2 linked regions of the Canis lupus familiaris genome follow. The protein of the gene in region 1 interacts with the protein of each later gene in a pairwise test. Links are inferred from orthologs where the notes say so. Each region holds a gene or a part of one and is shown in the gene's direction. Other genes may lie near its edges.

Region 1 (7,689 bases):
TCCACTGCATGCTGGGAGAGCTAGACACAGACACCCCTAGTCCCTAGGATCAGAGTTGGGTCAGAAGGAGGGAGGGTGTTGGGGAGAGTTTAGAGGGAGACATGGGATGGCTTCTCAGAGAAGGGAGCATTAGAGGTGGGATGAATAGGAGCTTCTTAGGAGGCCAAGGTCTGGTGGCTGGCCCAACTGGCCATGGCTGAGGGAACATGGAGAAAGAGGATGAATGTGGCTAGAGGAGCATATAAGGTCCCATAGCTAAAGATTTAGAAGTTATCATGCCAAGTTGGATATTATTTCTGTCCTTAAAAACTCATACCTAGTTGATCTCTCAACCCCTGACAGAAAATATTCAGAATTTGGCTCAGGATCAAAAGCATATGTCCAGACAGCCAAGAATAAATATAATGTTTATAACAACCAGAATTTATTAAGGTGTCAGGGTCATGCCCTTTTCACACAAGGACTTGTTGGATCCTTAAAGTAAACTTCAGCACCATTTTTATGTCCCTTTTATACATGGGGTAACTAAGGCACAGAGAGGGAAAATGGCTTCTTTAAGGTCACACTGTTCTTAAGAGGCAGGGCTGGGAGTCACTCGTTGGTCACATGACTCTGGAGGCCACCAAGGACCAAGACTGGGGCTTGAGGATCCTCTCCTTCTTGAAGCATTTCAAGAGTTCCTGCTGCAGGTCAGGCTTGATCTAGGTGCTGGGGACAGAACCATGGAAGAGGTGGACAGTAACCAAATGGCCACTGTCATCCACATCATGAAGTTGGGCACGTAGCTTTGGGAAAGAGTGACAGACTTCCCCTGATCTGGTGGGATAGGAACTCTCCAGGGATGAGAGACAATTTAGCTTCAATCCAGAGGTGGGTCAGATTTAACTAGGCAGAGAGCAGAATCTAACCCATAAGAGCCACTCTACAAATACAGCATCCCTAGAGCTGAAGAAACTTTTCGAGGCTCTGCTTGGCCTTTTCTGTGACAGGAAGTTTGTTCCCTTATATCCCTCTCTCATGCCCAAGGGAAAGCTATTGCTTCTTTTTTTTTTTTTTTAAAGCTATTGCTTCTTATCAGCCACCCTGGGGTGGTGGCCTCTGCCCATTCTATAAGGACATCCCCAGGCAGACTAGGCCTCAGGCTGGGGTAGAGGTGGCAGCTTGGGGCAGCCCCCTACTGTCTCTACCCACAGGAGAGTGAGGAGCTGCTCGTGTTCCCCAGATTCTCCTGCTTCCTCTCTCTACCCCTTTGCCCTGCAAGCGTCAGACCATTCTCCAGGTGAAAAAAGTGAGGTCCACACTGACAAAGCCATTCCCTCAATTTGTACTTGAGTGACACTACATCAGGTCAGGGCTGCTCAAGGCGAGCCCCATCCCAACTTCTCCTGGAGCCCTGAGGGGGGCCCAGGGAAGTGATTCAACTCCCCACTCTCCGTCATGTTGTTGCCTTCTGCCCACACAAGGAATAAAGTCAGCCTAGGCCCCTCTCCTGGCCACCCCCACAGAATAGCCACATGGCCCTAGCTCTGTAGCCGGCCAACACAGCACACCCTGAGTGGCCTCCAGAAGCCTCGGCCCTGTCGGCACCTTTCCCAGTTACTTAATTTTTTTTTTAATTATTTTTTTGGTAATAAGGAAAAGTCACTCTTTGCACAGAACAGACGGTATTTTCTTTGTTCCCCACAATGTTCAAAGCGTTTTGTGGCTTCAGGCCTGAAAGTGAAGCCAAATCCTTTGCTTGTGCAGATGCCTTGTGAAGTTAGAAGCAGCTGGGGAAACTGAGCCTGAGCCTCAGTTTCCCCAGCAGGGGTGAGCGGTTCCTCTCATACTGGGTGAGACTGGGGCTCCAGGATGGGCTAGTCCTCCAAAGACTGCTCAGACCTGGCCACGATGGAAGTAATACACAGATAATACACATCAGGGAAGGGACGCCTGGGTGGCTCAGTGGTTGAGTGTCTGCTTTTGGCTCAGGGCGTGATCCCGGGGTCCTGGGATTGGGCTCCCCATAGGGAGCCTGCTTCTCCTTCTGTCTGTCTCTGTCTTTCTTTCTGTGTCTCTCATGAATAAATAAAATCTTAAAAAAAAAATACGGATGAAGGGTCCCAGAGAAAGTGATGGGGTCCTGGTGCAGTACACAGCGAGATCCCTTCCAAGCCCCAGATAGAGTAGCTTCTAGGGCAAGAGGGGCCAGTGGAGCAGAGCCTGGAAGGACAAGGCCAAATATACACCAGCAGAAATGGCATTCCAGGTGTAGGGGAGAGTTTGGGCAAAGGCCTGAAGCAAGGTAAACTCCATCTTGGTCTGGAAATAAGTCTTCAGAAACGACGCGACCTGGAATTCACCTAAAGGTAATTAGAAGATAGCTACCAGCCCAGATGATTCTGGTCAGGGGAAAACAGAAATAAAAACAGGGAAATGAGACGGGGCGGAGAAGGCAAAAAGCAAAATCTCTGAGATTGTTGGAAAGCTCAAGCATGAGGTTTAGGGCTTTAGGGAACTGTAGGCCTCGGTTTGAGGGAGCTGCAGTGCCTCTGTCCACGAACCCGATGGCACTGTGTGACTTTGGAGGAGTCCAGAGAAAGGGCAGCCACTGGACTGCCAAGTAAGTGGGTCCCACAGGCAGACCCTGGCCTGGGGAGGCTGATCCTGGCTCATCTCCAGTTGGACCCTCTCCTGGCAAGTGCCTGAAGGGTTCCCCCTGACCAGTGATGGCAAACCCAGGCCTGAGGACCTCCAGGAGATTTGCACAATTGGTGGGAGCTGGGCCCCAATATTCGCTCTACCCTGGCTTCTGAGACCCTATAACATAGCAATACTGATAATTCGACCATGTTGGCATTGTTACCTTCCTCTCCTGGGAGACAAGGTGGATAGAAGCCTCTCCCCAACAGGGGATTGGAGCTGGGGGGGGAGTCAGGCAGGAACGATTCCTAACGGGGCACCCCTGATCAAGTCTCATTAAGTGCCTACTGTTTGCCTCTCTCAGCCTCTTCTAGCTTTCGCCCAGCCTGTGTCTGTTTCATTTCCAGGCTACACCCACTGAGCACCTACTGTGTGCAAGCACCCAGCTCCGTGCGATAGAGGAGCCCCGGCCTCTAGATCCCTGTCAGGTGGAGAGGGACTCCCATCAAAGGCAGAAGGTCATGACCTCAGGCAGTGCCCCGAGGGCCAGGGCCGCCCCGACAGGACGATCAAGCCCCATCCTCCATCTGTCTGCCTCCTGTGTCTCTCCCTCATGTCTCTGCCTCTGGGTCTGGGTCTCTGTCCCCATCCGCCCCGGCCCTCTTCCCCGCTCTTCACCCCGCCCCCCGCCCCCAGGGAGTCCCGTCCCGCCCCGCTCCCGGCTTCCGCCCCTCCCTTCCCCCCCCCGCCGCGGAGGGCCGGCAGGGGGCGCTGCGGGGCGGCCTCGGCGGCCCGGGGAGGCGGGGCGGGCGGCGGCCGCGTCGGGACCGGCCGCGATGGGACCGGAGGCGGCGCGGGCGGCGGCGGAGGCGCAGACAAAGGCGCGGGCGGCGCGGAGGGCGGCGCGGAGGGCGCGGGCCCCGGAGCCAGCGAGCGAGCGGGGCGCCCGGCTGCGGGGAGTCGGCGCCGCGGGGCAGCACCCGACTCGCGCCCGGACACTCGCGGGGCGCCGAGCCCGCAGGGTGAGCCCGGCTGTCCGAGCCTGCGCGGGGGACGCGGGGGCCCCCAGGTGCCAGGGCCGGGGCGAGGGCGCGGGGGTCCCCGAAGTTCCGGGCCGGGAGGCTGGGGGCGGCCGGGGAGCCCCGAAGTTCCAGGGCTTGAGAGGGCGCAGGGGCCCCGAAGTTCCGGAGCCGGGGTCGGAGAGGGCACGGGGCGAGGGGTTCCCAAAGTTCCGGACCCGGCGTTGGAGGAGGCTGCGCTGTCCCCGACGTTCCCGGCCTGGGGTTGGGAGGCGGCACGAGAGGATCCCGAAATCACCGACCCGGGGCTGGAGAGCTGGCAGGGAGTCCCCGGAATTTAGAAGTCGGAGGTGGTGCGAGGGATCCCCGAAGTTCTGGACCCGGAGTCGGGGGGCATCGCGCGAATCTCGGAAGTTCCCGGGTCGAGGGTGGCACTTCCCGAAGTCGGGGAGCGCACTGGGCGCCCCGATTCTGACGCGGATGGGAATTCTTTCCTTACTGAATACCAGGCCCCCCAGCCCGGGGCGCATGGGGTGGGGCTTCGCCCCCACACGCAACTGGGGATCCTGGCACCGGGCGGGGTCCGGGCCTCCTCCGGGAGCCCCGCGGCCGGCGGCGACCGAGGCACATGACTAGTTGGTGAGTAACTTTCCCCAAAGCTGCAAGTCGCGGCAGGACCGTCAGGGCCGGCAGGGCCTGGGTTTCTGGGACCCCTGCACCCTGGAACCCTGCTTCGACCCAGGACTTGCTCCCAACCCGGGCCAGCGCTGCCGCCCCTCCCCCACACAGGGGCTCCGGTTTCAGACCCTGTGACCCGGGCAGCAGCTGCCCAGGACAGGGTGGGGGGGCAACCCTCCTCTGACCAGGGAGGCCGCTCCGCGGGGGGCCTCCCTTCCCCCACTGGCCACCTCCCTTCCCCAGGTCCCTCCTGGTCCCCTGCAGATCCCCCAGATGCAGGTTTTGGAGGCACAGAGGTGAGGTTAAGGAATTCTCCAGGGCAGCCATTCCTGGTATCTGTGAGGTCGTGGCTGGAGGCAGCAAGAGGGGCTGGGGATCTCCCAATCCTTGATGCCACCCAGCCCTGCATGGTATTGGGATAGAGTGGTCATGGGCAATCGGTTAGTGGGTACCAGGGTAAATTTGTTTGACTACATCTTCTTAACTAGGCTGGCAGCTCCCTGGGGATTTGGACTCTGCCTCCAAGTGTGCCTCTGCCCTAGAGTGGAAGCTGAGGGGTCCCTCTGTGGGATCTAGGAGGAACTGGTCTCCCAGGAGGCATCTGGTGATGGCCACATTTTGATGGAGATCCTGGTTTGGGGAGTGATGAGTGAATGTGGCAGAAAATACCAAGTAGGAGTTCACCTTGGCCTTCTCTATCTAGCACCAGTATTGAGGGGGTGTCACTCTGGGTTCAGTAACCAGCATGCTGACAAGTTTATGCTGGGAGATCCAGGGCCACCTGGCTCCTCTCGGAGAGTCATCTCCTGCTCAGGGTGTGTGGGGGCTTCCTCCCAAAGGAGAGGGACAGGGTGTTTTTGCTGAATGATCTGCTGATTCCTTTACCTTTCTAATTGAGGTTCTATGAATGGTGTGGCTGGTGGTGGGTCCTGAGGTTGGACCCGCTTGGTTTCCTTAAGCCTGTCCTGGGGAGACACTCACAATCCCTCTCTCCCCCCAGAGGCTGAACCCGCAGCTCCTGCCATCCCTCTGGCTGCCTCTTGGAGCCCACCCAACCCAACCTGACCAATGTCCACAGCCAGGTGAGCCCCTGCCTCCCCAGCTTGGCCCTGAGCCCCCTGGGGGATGCCTAGCCCCACTGAGAACCGTCTCCCCACGCAGGGAGCAGCCCATCTTCAGCACACGGGCACATGTGTTCCAGATTGACCCGGCCACCAAGCGGAACTGGATCCCCGCGGGCAAGCACGCACTCACGGTCTCCTACTTCTATGATGCCACCCGAAATGTCTACCGAATCATCAGCATTGGGGGTGCCAAGGTCCTGGCAGGGCCTGGGTGGGGGTGGCAGGCTCCTGAGGTCTCAGAGGCAGGTTTGGGTCTAGTCATTACCCTGCTGTGTGCCTGGGGGCTGGGGGTTGGGAGGAGCCCTTAAATCAGTCTCTGTCTTGAGATGGCTCACACCTAGAACCTCCCAAGAGCTAATACAAAGTGACACCCTGGGGGTCTCATGTTCATTATTGTCAGTCTCATCAAGCTTGAATTGTGTTCCCCCCTCTTCCCTCTTCCCAGGCCATCATCAACAGCACCGTCACCCCCAACATGACCTTTACCAAAACCTCCCAGAAGTTTGGGCAGTGGGCAGACAGTCGTGCCAACACCGTCTATGGCCTTGGCTTTGCTTCTGAGCAGCATCTGACCCAGGTGGGCTTGCAGGATTACATGGCGGGAAGGACAGGGCTGGCCCTGGGGTTCCTCTTAGGGCCCTGGGGGCCTCTGGGCAGGTGCTGTAGAATAGGCATGAGAATTAGACAACCCTTCCTGGTTCCCTGGCTCATGTCTCAGCTCTGCTGGCCATCTGCTCCAATTTTGGACACACCCCGCCCTTCTCTGGGTGCCTGGGATGAGCTGGGAGTTCCCTCACACACCCTAGCACTACCTTCATCATTGCCTCCCTCCACCCTCTGCTGTCTTCAGACTTCAATATTGTCTCATCCCATTGTTCCCCTGGATGAGTAGTGCTTTCTGATTCCTAATGAGATCGTGAGGATTCTCTTTGCTTCTAGAAGCTTTCATTTTCCTTTCAAATTTAGGTCTTGAATTAATTTCTGTGGGTGGTATAAAGCAGGAGTATTTTTTCTCACTGAGTATTTAGTTGCTCTTCAACCGTTTTTTGAGATGATTTCCCTCCAACGACTTGCACTGGTCTCTTCCCCCCAATCGAGTGACCGTCTGTGTGTAAACATTTTCTTTAAAAAATTATTTTCAAACTAAAGAAGTTTATTTTAAAATGAAAACCAGTGTATCCTACCCTAACTGGAAAATCGGTATAGGTAGAGTAGGAATGAGAAGAGGGTGATTTACTTTTTCACTGAGTACAGGTGCCTCTCAGAGGCTCTGAGCCCAAGACCTGCTTTCTCTGTGTTATAAAAAGATATTCACAAGTGTCCGGGGCATTAAAGACAGCACCCACCTGAGGCTCTCCTTGCTGAAATAAGCCTGACTGAGAGGAAGGGGATCCCTTTCTTTCTTTCTTTTTTTTTTTTTTCAAGATTTTATTTATTTATTCATGAGAGACACACAGAGAAAGAGGCAGAGACATAGGCAGAGGGAGAAGCAGGCTCCACAAAGGAAGCCCGATTCAGGACTCGACCCCTGTACTCTGGGATCACACCCTGAGCCGAAGGCAAATGCCCAACCGCTGAGCCACTCAGGCGTTCCAGGGGATCCCTTTCTCAAGGTGGCTCCATGGAATTCACGTCCACCTAAATCCTACCTCCACCATGATACTCAGTCTGCTCACTGGAACAACTTATTCCAAGCCTCCTGACCACTCTTCCAGTTCATGAGACCAGAGGATATGCATGACTCCTAAAGTCCCTTTCAAAGTGACAAGGGTGGTGCTGGGTGGGGGTGACCAAGTGAGGCCCTGGGAGAGGGGGCTGGGTTGGCTTTGACTGTTTGTTCTGCTCCCCTCCCCACCCCCAGTTTGCTGAGAAGTTCCAGGAAGTAAAGGAAGCAGCGAGGCTGGCGAGGGAGAAATCTCAGGATGGGGGGGAGCTCACCAGTCCAGCCCTGGCGCTCGCTGCCCACCAGGTCAGTATTTCCTGTCCCATGCCTGCCAGTCACTCAGCTGATACTGAGGGTCCAGGTACTGTGCTGGTGCCCAGGACCAAATGCTCACAGATCCCATAAAACTCCACCTACAGCAGGAGCCTTGGAAGAAAAGGCTCAGGAGCACATCCTGGGGGTCCGGCCTAGCCTTGGATCACCGAAGGCCTGGAAACCAGCTTAGATGGCGGAGTAAAAACCCGGAGGTTGAAATAGCTAATGGGGGTGGTGGGGGGGGGGTGGCCAAGTGAGAAACTGTCCC
Region 2 (7,754 bases), on another chromosome or scaffold:
CATACTAATTACAAATGGCATATACATATATGGCCATGCTATATATTATTACATAGACTCACAACAAATTATTATGAGTGACTCTACCAGACAATAATTGGACTACACATCCTTAAGTGTAGGCATTAAGTATAAGGATAAAAATAACTGCAAAGAAATCTTAATCTTTATTTAATAATTGTCAGACAACATTAGTAATTATGTTAATTTTGTTTAGAATCAAGATTTTAAATATAAGAAGGAAATTATGAAATCAAAATGTTTTAACTAGGAACTATAATGTTAGAACTGAATTAGAAATATCAATATGAACACGTTTTTTGAAAAAGTATGTTTTCTAATTCCATGAGCTAAAATGAGCTAGGGTCAAAGGCCTAAGAGAATGAACCTAATGTGTAAACTTTACTATTATGATTTCTAATCCTATCTCTCCAGGATACCCTGGAGAAATGGCTGATTCTGGGGTACCTGGGTGGCTCAGAAGACAGAGGCTTATTATGCTCAGTCATGATCTCAGGGTCCCAGGATGGAGCCCCACTTTGGGCTCCCTGATCTGCAGGAAGCCTGAATCTCCCTCTCCCTCTGCCTGGCACTCTCCCTATTTATGCTCTTTCTCTGTCAAATAAATAAATAAAATCTTTTAAAAAGAAAGAAAAGAAAAAAGAAATGGCTGATTCCATGTCTAGGGTATGGCGGGTTATAAGCCTGGGTCAATTTATTGTATCAGTAGATGAGAAATAATACAGATTAATGAGACTGTGTCAAAAGAACACAAGTGTTTTAATACCTTAATACCCAGGGGTGCATTAATTTGAGCAATAAAAGACAATGAGTGTTACATTTGGTTAAATCACATTGAATGTCTGAAAAGCCATTGAGTCCATACTGATATACAAGAAAAAATTGGCATACAGCTGAATAAAAGTGGTGAATTTAATAGCCTATATTACTTCTGAATCCTTTATTCCAATATGATGTTATTTTGATTCATTTACTTTATCAGTGAAAGATACAGAACTCAGTAAATATTAAAAACATAATTTAAAAGTGTTTTCTGGTTTAAAGGTGGATGCCAATATAATGATCCCAATAAGGTGTAACTGTATGTTGAACAAAGATATTCAAGATCACCAAATTTCAATCAAATATCATTACAAATATCCATAAGCATTTTATGGTCTTAAGAATATGGAAAAATTGCAAGATACCATTAAACTCAAAGATCTTTAAAACTGATTTGAAAGGCATTTGCTAAGGTCTTAAAATCCTGTTAAGTTGGAAGGTAGAGAAATTAGAAGTTAAACACTACAGAAGTAAAAATATACTTATCTTAAGAGCCGAAATACAAAATCCAAGTAAACAGCCCAGGTAAGAGCCACCAACTTCTGTGAATGCACAGAAGAAGCAGGTAGCATGTGCAGATTCCACCCAGAAACATGATCCATGCAATCCACAGCATTACTGTCTGGCAAGCGGGAACCTGTGTGTATTTCAGATTTTATACACTTGTAACATGTGGGAGAATTTGGCCTATTAGAATGATGGCCTGTATCTCTAATTTAAAATGTATGATTCAATAATTTGTTTAGATTGGTGATTCTAAATTAAGATATGACTATGTACAATATTCAACCTACTATTAAAAAAAAAGCTTGAGATTCGTCACATTCATTGTTTAATTCAGTAAACTTATTAAGTATTTAATATTCAGGATAGATTAGGGAGAACTTAGTGACAGCTTAGCATATATTAAATAAAGCCAATGAACTTTTGCCACTGACCCAAATTATAAGAGGCTGTATCATAATCAACCCCTATCTGTTTCAAGAAAGCAATTTTATTAACAAAAAACATACGAGCTGATAAATACTACTATTGGCCAAAGTCATGTATATGAATGGAAATATACATAAAGTAAAATTAAGGCTGCCTGGGTGGCTGAATAGGTTAAGCTATGCCTTGGGCTCAGGTCATGATCCCAGGGTCGGGGGATGGCGCCCCGCCTCAGGCTCAGTGCTAGTCTGGTTCTCCTTCCTACGCCTTCAAAGGGTTCCTTCTGTTTGTATAAGCTTTAAGCCCCCACAAAACCTGGATCTGCCCCTGGGCATATTATTTTAGAAAAACCAAAGTAGCTCTCCAGGCTTCTGTACGGACATGGGAACATACATAATTCTTGCTGACCATAAAATTCAAACTTCATAATATTAATTAATAATATAATTCCACTTAAGTAAAAAAAAATTTAAAGTTTTTCAACTTTATAGTTTTTATTTTTAGCAAAGCACGTCTTCACTTATTATTTTAGCTCCAAAAAAAAAAAAAAAAAAAGGCAAAAGTTTATTTTCGACTTCGACTGATGCTTGCAAACAGCAGCAGTACAACCCTTCGAGCCTTCGAGGACTGCAGGGCGCCCCCTCCTTGGCCTTCGGACTTTCTGGGGTCGGGCTGTAACCGGAGATCCCGGGCGGCGGGTCCCGAGGCGCGCACGCGCAGACGCGGCCCGAGGGCTCGACGTGGGCGTCAGCGGGCGAGGGCGCGCCGTGCGGGCTGGAGTTGCACGGCCTCTTAAAGATGTCTCCCGGAAGGCTACGTGATGATGCTGAGCGCACGAAGATGCACTTCTGTGCGCGCAGGGGGCACGGGCACGCCGCAGCGGGGCGCAGTGAGCCCGGGCACAGGCCGCCTCGGCGGGACGGCCGGCCACGTGCTTCCCCGCGCCCGGGAGGCTGCGCGCCGACCCCAGGGCCGGGAGGCCTCGGGCAGCTCGCCCACGGCGTCCTCGTGCCCGCCGCCTGCGCACGGCCGCGCGGGACGGCGCCCTCCCGAGCCCCGGAGCCGAGGAAGACCCTGCGCGAGCCGCGAGGTTGTCTCCCGCGAGCCGCGCTCCTCCCCGTCTGCCGCTGAAGCGGAGTTCAGCGCGCTGCCCCGCCGCCGCCCCGCCGCTGTCCGCCGCCGCCGCCGCCGCCGCCCCGCCGCCGCCACAGCTGCGGATGCGTACGCCGAGCCTTGCCTGAAACCCACGCAGCTCCCCACAGGCGTGCTGCCAGGCGGAGCAGAAAACGGAAAGCCTTTAAGAACCGGAGAGCCTTCTGCTCCTCACCGGGTGCCCCCAGTCTGGTTCATTTGCACTTCTAGGAGACAGTGCCTACCCTGTCATTAACGAATATTCTTTGCCTTTATTTGCTATGACGAGATGACTGCATTTGATCAGATAAATGTTGACCCTCTGCATTCCTAGTATATAACAATAAGGCAATATACTCTTAACATATCTAACCTCAAATAAAATTTAAGTTAGAAGACCAGTCAGACTTCGGTTTAGCTTAAGTAATGAGTCACTTCAGCCCTAGCAGGGTACGCTTTTTTATTTTTTTTAAGAATTTTTATTTATTTATTCATAGAAACAGAGAGAGGGGCAGAGACACAGGCAGAAGGAGAAGCAGGCTCCACGCAACAAGCCTGACGCGGGACTCGATCCCGGGTCTCCAGGATCACACCCCGGGCTGCAGGCGGCGCTAAACCGCTGCGCCACCGGGGCCGCCCAGCAGGGTACGCTTTGACACCGTCTTAACAAATCTGTTTCTTACAGCATAAGCCCATATACACTTTATGAGTTTCATAAATGATAATTAGCAATTAGGAATTACTTATCATGTCCTGATCTAAGTATTTGCTGTGAATACTGACAGCAGTCCTCAGGCAGATTTTCCTCGTCTTACAGATAAGGAAACTGAAGGATAGTAAGAAACCCAGGCAATCTGGCCCCAGAGGCTGTTTTAAAATGGATATTCAACGAAATACTCTTGAGCAGATTGGCAGATGCTAGATATAATGAACTTGGGGCTTGTGAATGTAGAGTGCCACATTTTCATTAATACCTTGTATCTTATATAAGTAATAAAATCAACCTTTGTAAAATGAATTACCTATGCTCTTAGCTTAAACATAAAGATTATATAACAAGTCACATCATTTTGCAAAGAAGGTTATGACACTCTTTTGATCAATATAGCATTCCTAATACCATAAAAGTTTCGGAGACCTAAATTATAATGCCAACTATGTGATGACTATTAAATAAATTTTGTAATAGACTTACTGTAGAATATAATTTTATTACTTTCTTATTTTACTCTCTTCACTGTCATTCTTTTATATTTTGGTTTTGATTCAACTGCCTTTCTACTAATATATTTTATAATATACATTTTTAGACTTTCTTTATTTGTACAGGGCTCCCGAACTTTTATTCCAAAATTAAAAAGTTTATTATTATCCTAATTTCTTAACTGAAAAAAAAAAAAACCAAGGCTCAAACAGATTAAATATTACACACAATATCTAAGGCAGATGGGTAGTATAGACTAGAAATCCTACCCTAGGGCCCAACAGACTTCAAATGGTTTATGTAAATGGCTTGTGTTTATTCACATATCTTCTCAGAATCAATATATCTCAGAAACAGACCTCTTTTATAAAAATGAAGGTGGTTAAACATCACCTATATGCTAAGTACAATAAGTTAAAACAGAATTTTACCAATTTTTTAAAAATATGGATCCTAACACCTTCCTATGTTTTTTAATCAACAGGTTAGTATTATTGGTCTTTTCCTCAAATATGGAATGCAAATTAGTGGGAGGTGGGGAGTTATAAAAACTAGAAAGAAAGAACTTATGGTTGAGTAGCAAGACTCATTTATTTTTAACATCTGGGTTTCCACATTATATATAGGCAGTGGTGATTCTGTGCCATTTTTATTCGGATTTTTCCTCTTCTAGGATTCTCTCATATTTGTTATTCTTTGAAGCTCTGATTATGGCTCTGAATCTGAATTTTTTTTCTCCCCCAACTCTGTTTCAAAACTTCTGTAACTCATTTGCCATGAAGTCTAAGATCTCTCTTGCAAGTGAGCTTACTGGGTGGGCCAAACTGCCATGGAACAGGACTGTTAGGAAGTCGATATGTTGCTAAGAAATCTTGCTAATTTGCTATATGAGCTGAATGGAGTGTCAGAGAATTTTCCTTTCCCCTGATGACCTTAGGAGGTGTATGTTTTGACCTGTATTAGTGATTGTATTTGGATCAATTACTTTAAGGTTACAATTTTTTATCCATATATGAATGTTGCACCTAATTATCCCCATAATCGGCTAAACAAATGTCAGCTGTTCGTATTTCAAATATTTCTGCCAATAACTGCTGGAAGTGATTTAATGCAGCTGGAGAATAACACTGACAATCATTATAGCCTGCAAAATGTGAAATAATTTCATTGCACTATATAGTCTCTTTAGTCTGAACACTGATCATGTTCAGTGGATGACACTTAAAAAAAAAGCTGTTTTTTTTTATAATTAAATAATAAATAATGGAAAAAGGGGGTGAGTCCACAGGCAGCTCACTGCTGTTTATCTGGCGAACTCTTCTGGGTGGAGAGCTTATTTTTATAAAAAGTCACTTTAAGTGTTGAAGGGAAATATTTTCATCTAAAAAGGAGGATTGTACTTCATTCAGACTGCTTCCGCTCATCTGATAAAAACCCTTGTGAGTAACAGCACAGACACGGCTCATTTGGGGAAAATGAAGGAAGAGGAGAAAAGCGCTGGGCGGAGCAAAGGAGGAGTCAGAGATGCTTCCAAACTCGTGGGACCCTCTTCTTTTGGTTTACCTGAGCCACTTTGGGGTCCACTTTGAAGGTGCCATGCCCTCACCTCTTTCCCGGCACAGTTACCTCCCCAGTGAGTTTTCTCCCTCGGTGGACTCGCGGCCCTGCAGCAGCCCTTCTGAGCTCCCAAGTAAAGCAGGGAAGCTCTTCCTGGGTGGCACTCCTCCCAGGGCTCCAAGGCTACCACGTCGGCTGGCCTGGTGCTCCATCGACTGGGAACAGGTGTGCTTCCTGCAGAGGCTGGGAGCTGGCGGGTTTGGCTCCGTGTACAAGGCGACTTACCATGGTGTTCTGGTGGCCATAAAACAAGTGAACAAGTGCACCAAGAACCGACTGGCATCCCAGCGCAGTTTCTGGGCTGAGCTCAACATCGCAAGGCTTCGCCATGATAACATCGTGCAGGTCGTGGCTGCAAGCACACGCACACCTGCGGGATTTAACAGCCTAGGCACCATAATCATGGAGTTTGGTGGCAATGTCACCTTACACCAAGTCATATACGGTGCCACAAGCTGCTCTGAGAAGGATGTGCAGCCTCACTGCTGTGCCGGAGAGCAATTAAATCTGGGAAAGTGTCTGCAGTATTCCCTAGATATTGTGAAAGGCCTGCTTTTCCTTCACTCACAAAACATTGTACACTTGGACCTGAAGCCGGCTAACATTCTGATCAGTGAGCAGGATGTCTGCAAAATTGGGGACTTCGGTTGCTCAGAGAAGCTGGAAGACGTGCTGTGCTTCCAGACTCCTCCCTACCCCCTGGGGGGCACCTACACCCACCGAGCTCCAGAGCTCCTGAAAGGAGAGATGATAACGCCAAAAGCTGACATCTACTCCTTTGCCATCACTCTTTGGCAAATGGCTACCAAGGAGGCGCCCTACTCAGGGGAGCGGCAGTACGTGCTCTACGCTGTGGTGGCCTATAATCTCCGTCCATCTCTGTCAGCAGCTGTCTTCACTGACTCCATCTCTGGGAAAAGACTTGAGAAGATCATCCAGTGCTGCTGGAGGGCCAGCGCTCTACAGCGGCCAAGTGCAGAACTCCTCCTGGTTGACCTTAACTCTTTAAGAGCTGAATTTGACTGACTCCATCCTGTACCCTCAAGATAAGCTTTGCCTGTGTTTCTATTCATTTTTAAAGAAGTGACCATGTAGAAAAAAACATATTTGCAGAACGGATTTTTAGAAAATAAAGTTATTTAAAACCCCTTTTGGTCTCAGATGCTCTTTCTAAGACAAATAGCACAGCTACAAATTTGGTAGTCAGCTGAATATTGTTAGTAACTAAACCTATTCCCTTATAGAGATATGCTTTGTTTTCATTGCAAGTGTGCTTAGTGCTATAGTTCTCTAGTATTGTACTTATTCAAATTTGCTATTGATGGAGCCAGCCTGTCCAAAATAGAGCTGCACTGTAAAGTGCCAAAATGTTCTATAAATTCAAATAATATGCTCTGTAACTCCTACCTAAATTTAAAGTATTAACATTTTATTTGCTCCCACACCAAACAAGTAAAAACTTTTGAAAGATATTAATTTTTTCCTGCTCCTCCCCCCAAAACTTCTCATTTGTAATGACCTTCACACATAAAATTCACCAACTGAGGCAAATCTATTTTTAAAGGAATAATATCTCAAATGATTTCTTATGATATTTTGAACTTGTACATGCCATGAGTAGAAACATTGTGCTAATATTCTTCCAAACTGGATCTCTTTTATCTATTTTTTGGACTCAGAAGTAGATGATAAAGCAAAGACTTTACATTACATGAGGGAAAAATGATGATCCTGAGGGACAGTAAAATTTAACATTTGGATGGAAGAGACCAGACAAGTAAAACCAGACTGCCCATTCTAGAAAATCAAGACAATGGTTGCCAGTACCTAAGATTTAAGAGAATGAAGTGACTGAGTTTTGTCATTAGGACCACTTTGACTTCCATTTAGCAACAGTAGTTTCTGTGAATGGGGAGGGTAAGGCCATTGCAATGGACCAGACAAGTATGGCAAGGACTTGATGTAGAACCTGTACTTGGGCTGTAGAGGAAAAATGGAGGTAGCCGAAACTTTGAAAAGGGATAAGATA

Evidence for each region.
Region 2: the proteins of HOMER3 (region 1) and MOS interact in binary tests that used the Homo sapiens proteins (3 or more experiments, as listed by UniProt). The two-hybrid records come from large-scale screens. The link is inferred for Canis lupus familiaris from reciprocal best matches to the Homo sapiens genes HOMER3 and MOS.

Annotation. Positions count from the first base shown.
Region 1 is NC_049241.1:44,585,495-44,593,183, forward strand, and holds the start of HOMER3 (homer protein homolog 3), read left to right. Parts: upstream 1-3,508; 5' UTR 3,509-3,644; intron 3,645-3,750; exon of another isoform or gene 3,751-4,280; intron 4,281-4,625; exon of another isoform or gene 4,626-5,319; 5' UTR 5,320-5,387; coding exon 5,388-5,401; intron 5,402-5,480; coding exon 5,481-5,637; intron 5,638-5,888; coding exon 5,889-6,020; intron 6,021-7,304; coding exon 7,305-7,412; intron 7,413-7,689. UniProt on the Homo sapiens protein: Postsynaptic density scaffolding protein. Binds and cross-links cytoplasmic regions of GRM1, GRM5, ITPR1, DNM3, RYR1, RYR2, SHANK1 and SHANK3.
Region 2 is NC_049250.1:8,007,600-8,015,353, reverse strand, and holds MOS (proto-oncogene serine/threonine-protein kinase mos), read left to right. Parts: upstream 1-2,999; 5' UTR 3,000-5,632; coding exon 5,633-6,751; 3' UTR 6,752-6,865; downstream 6,866-7,754.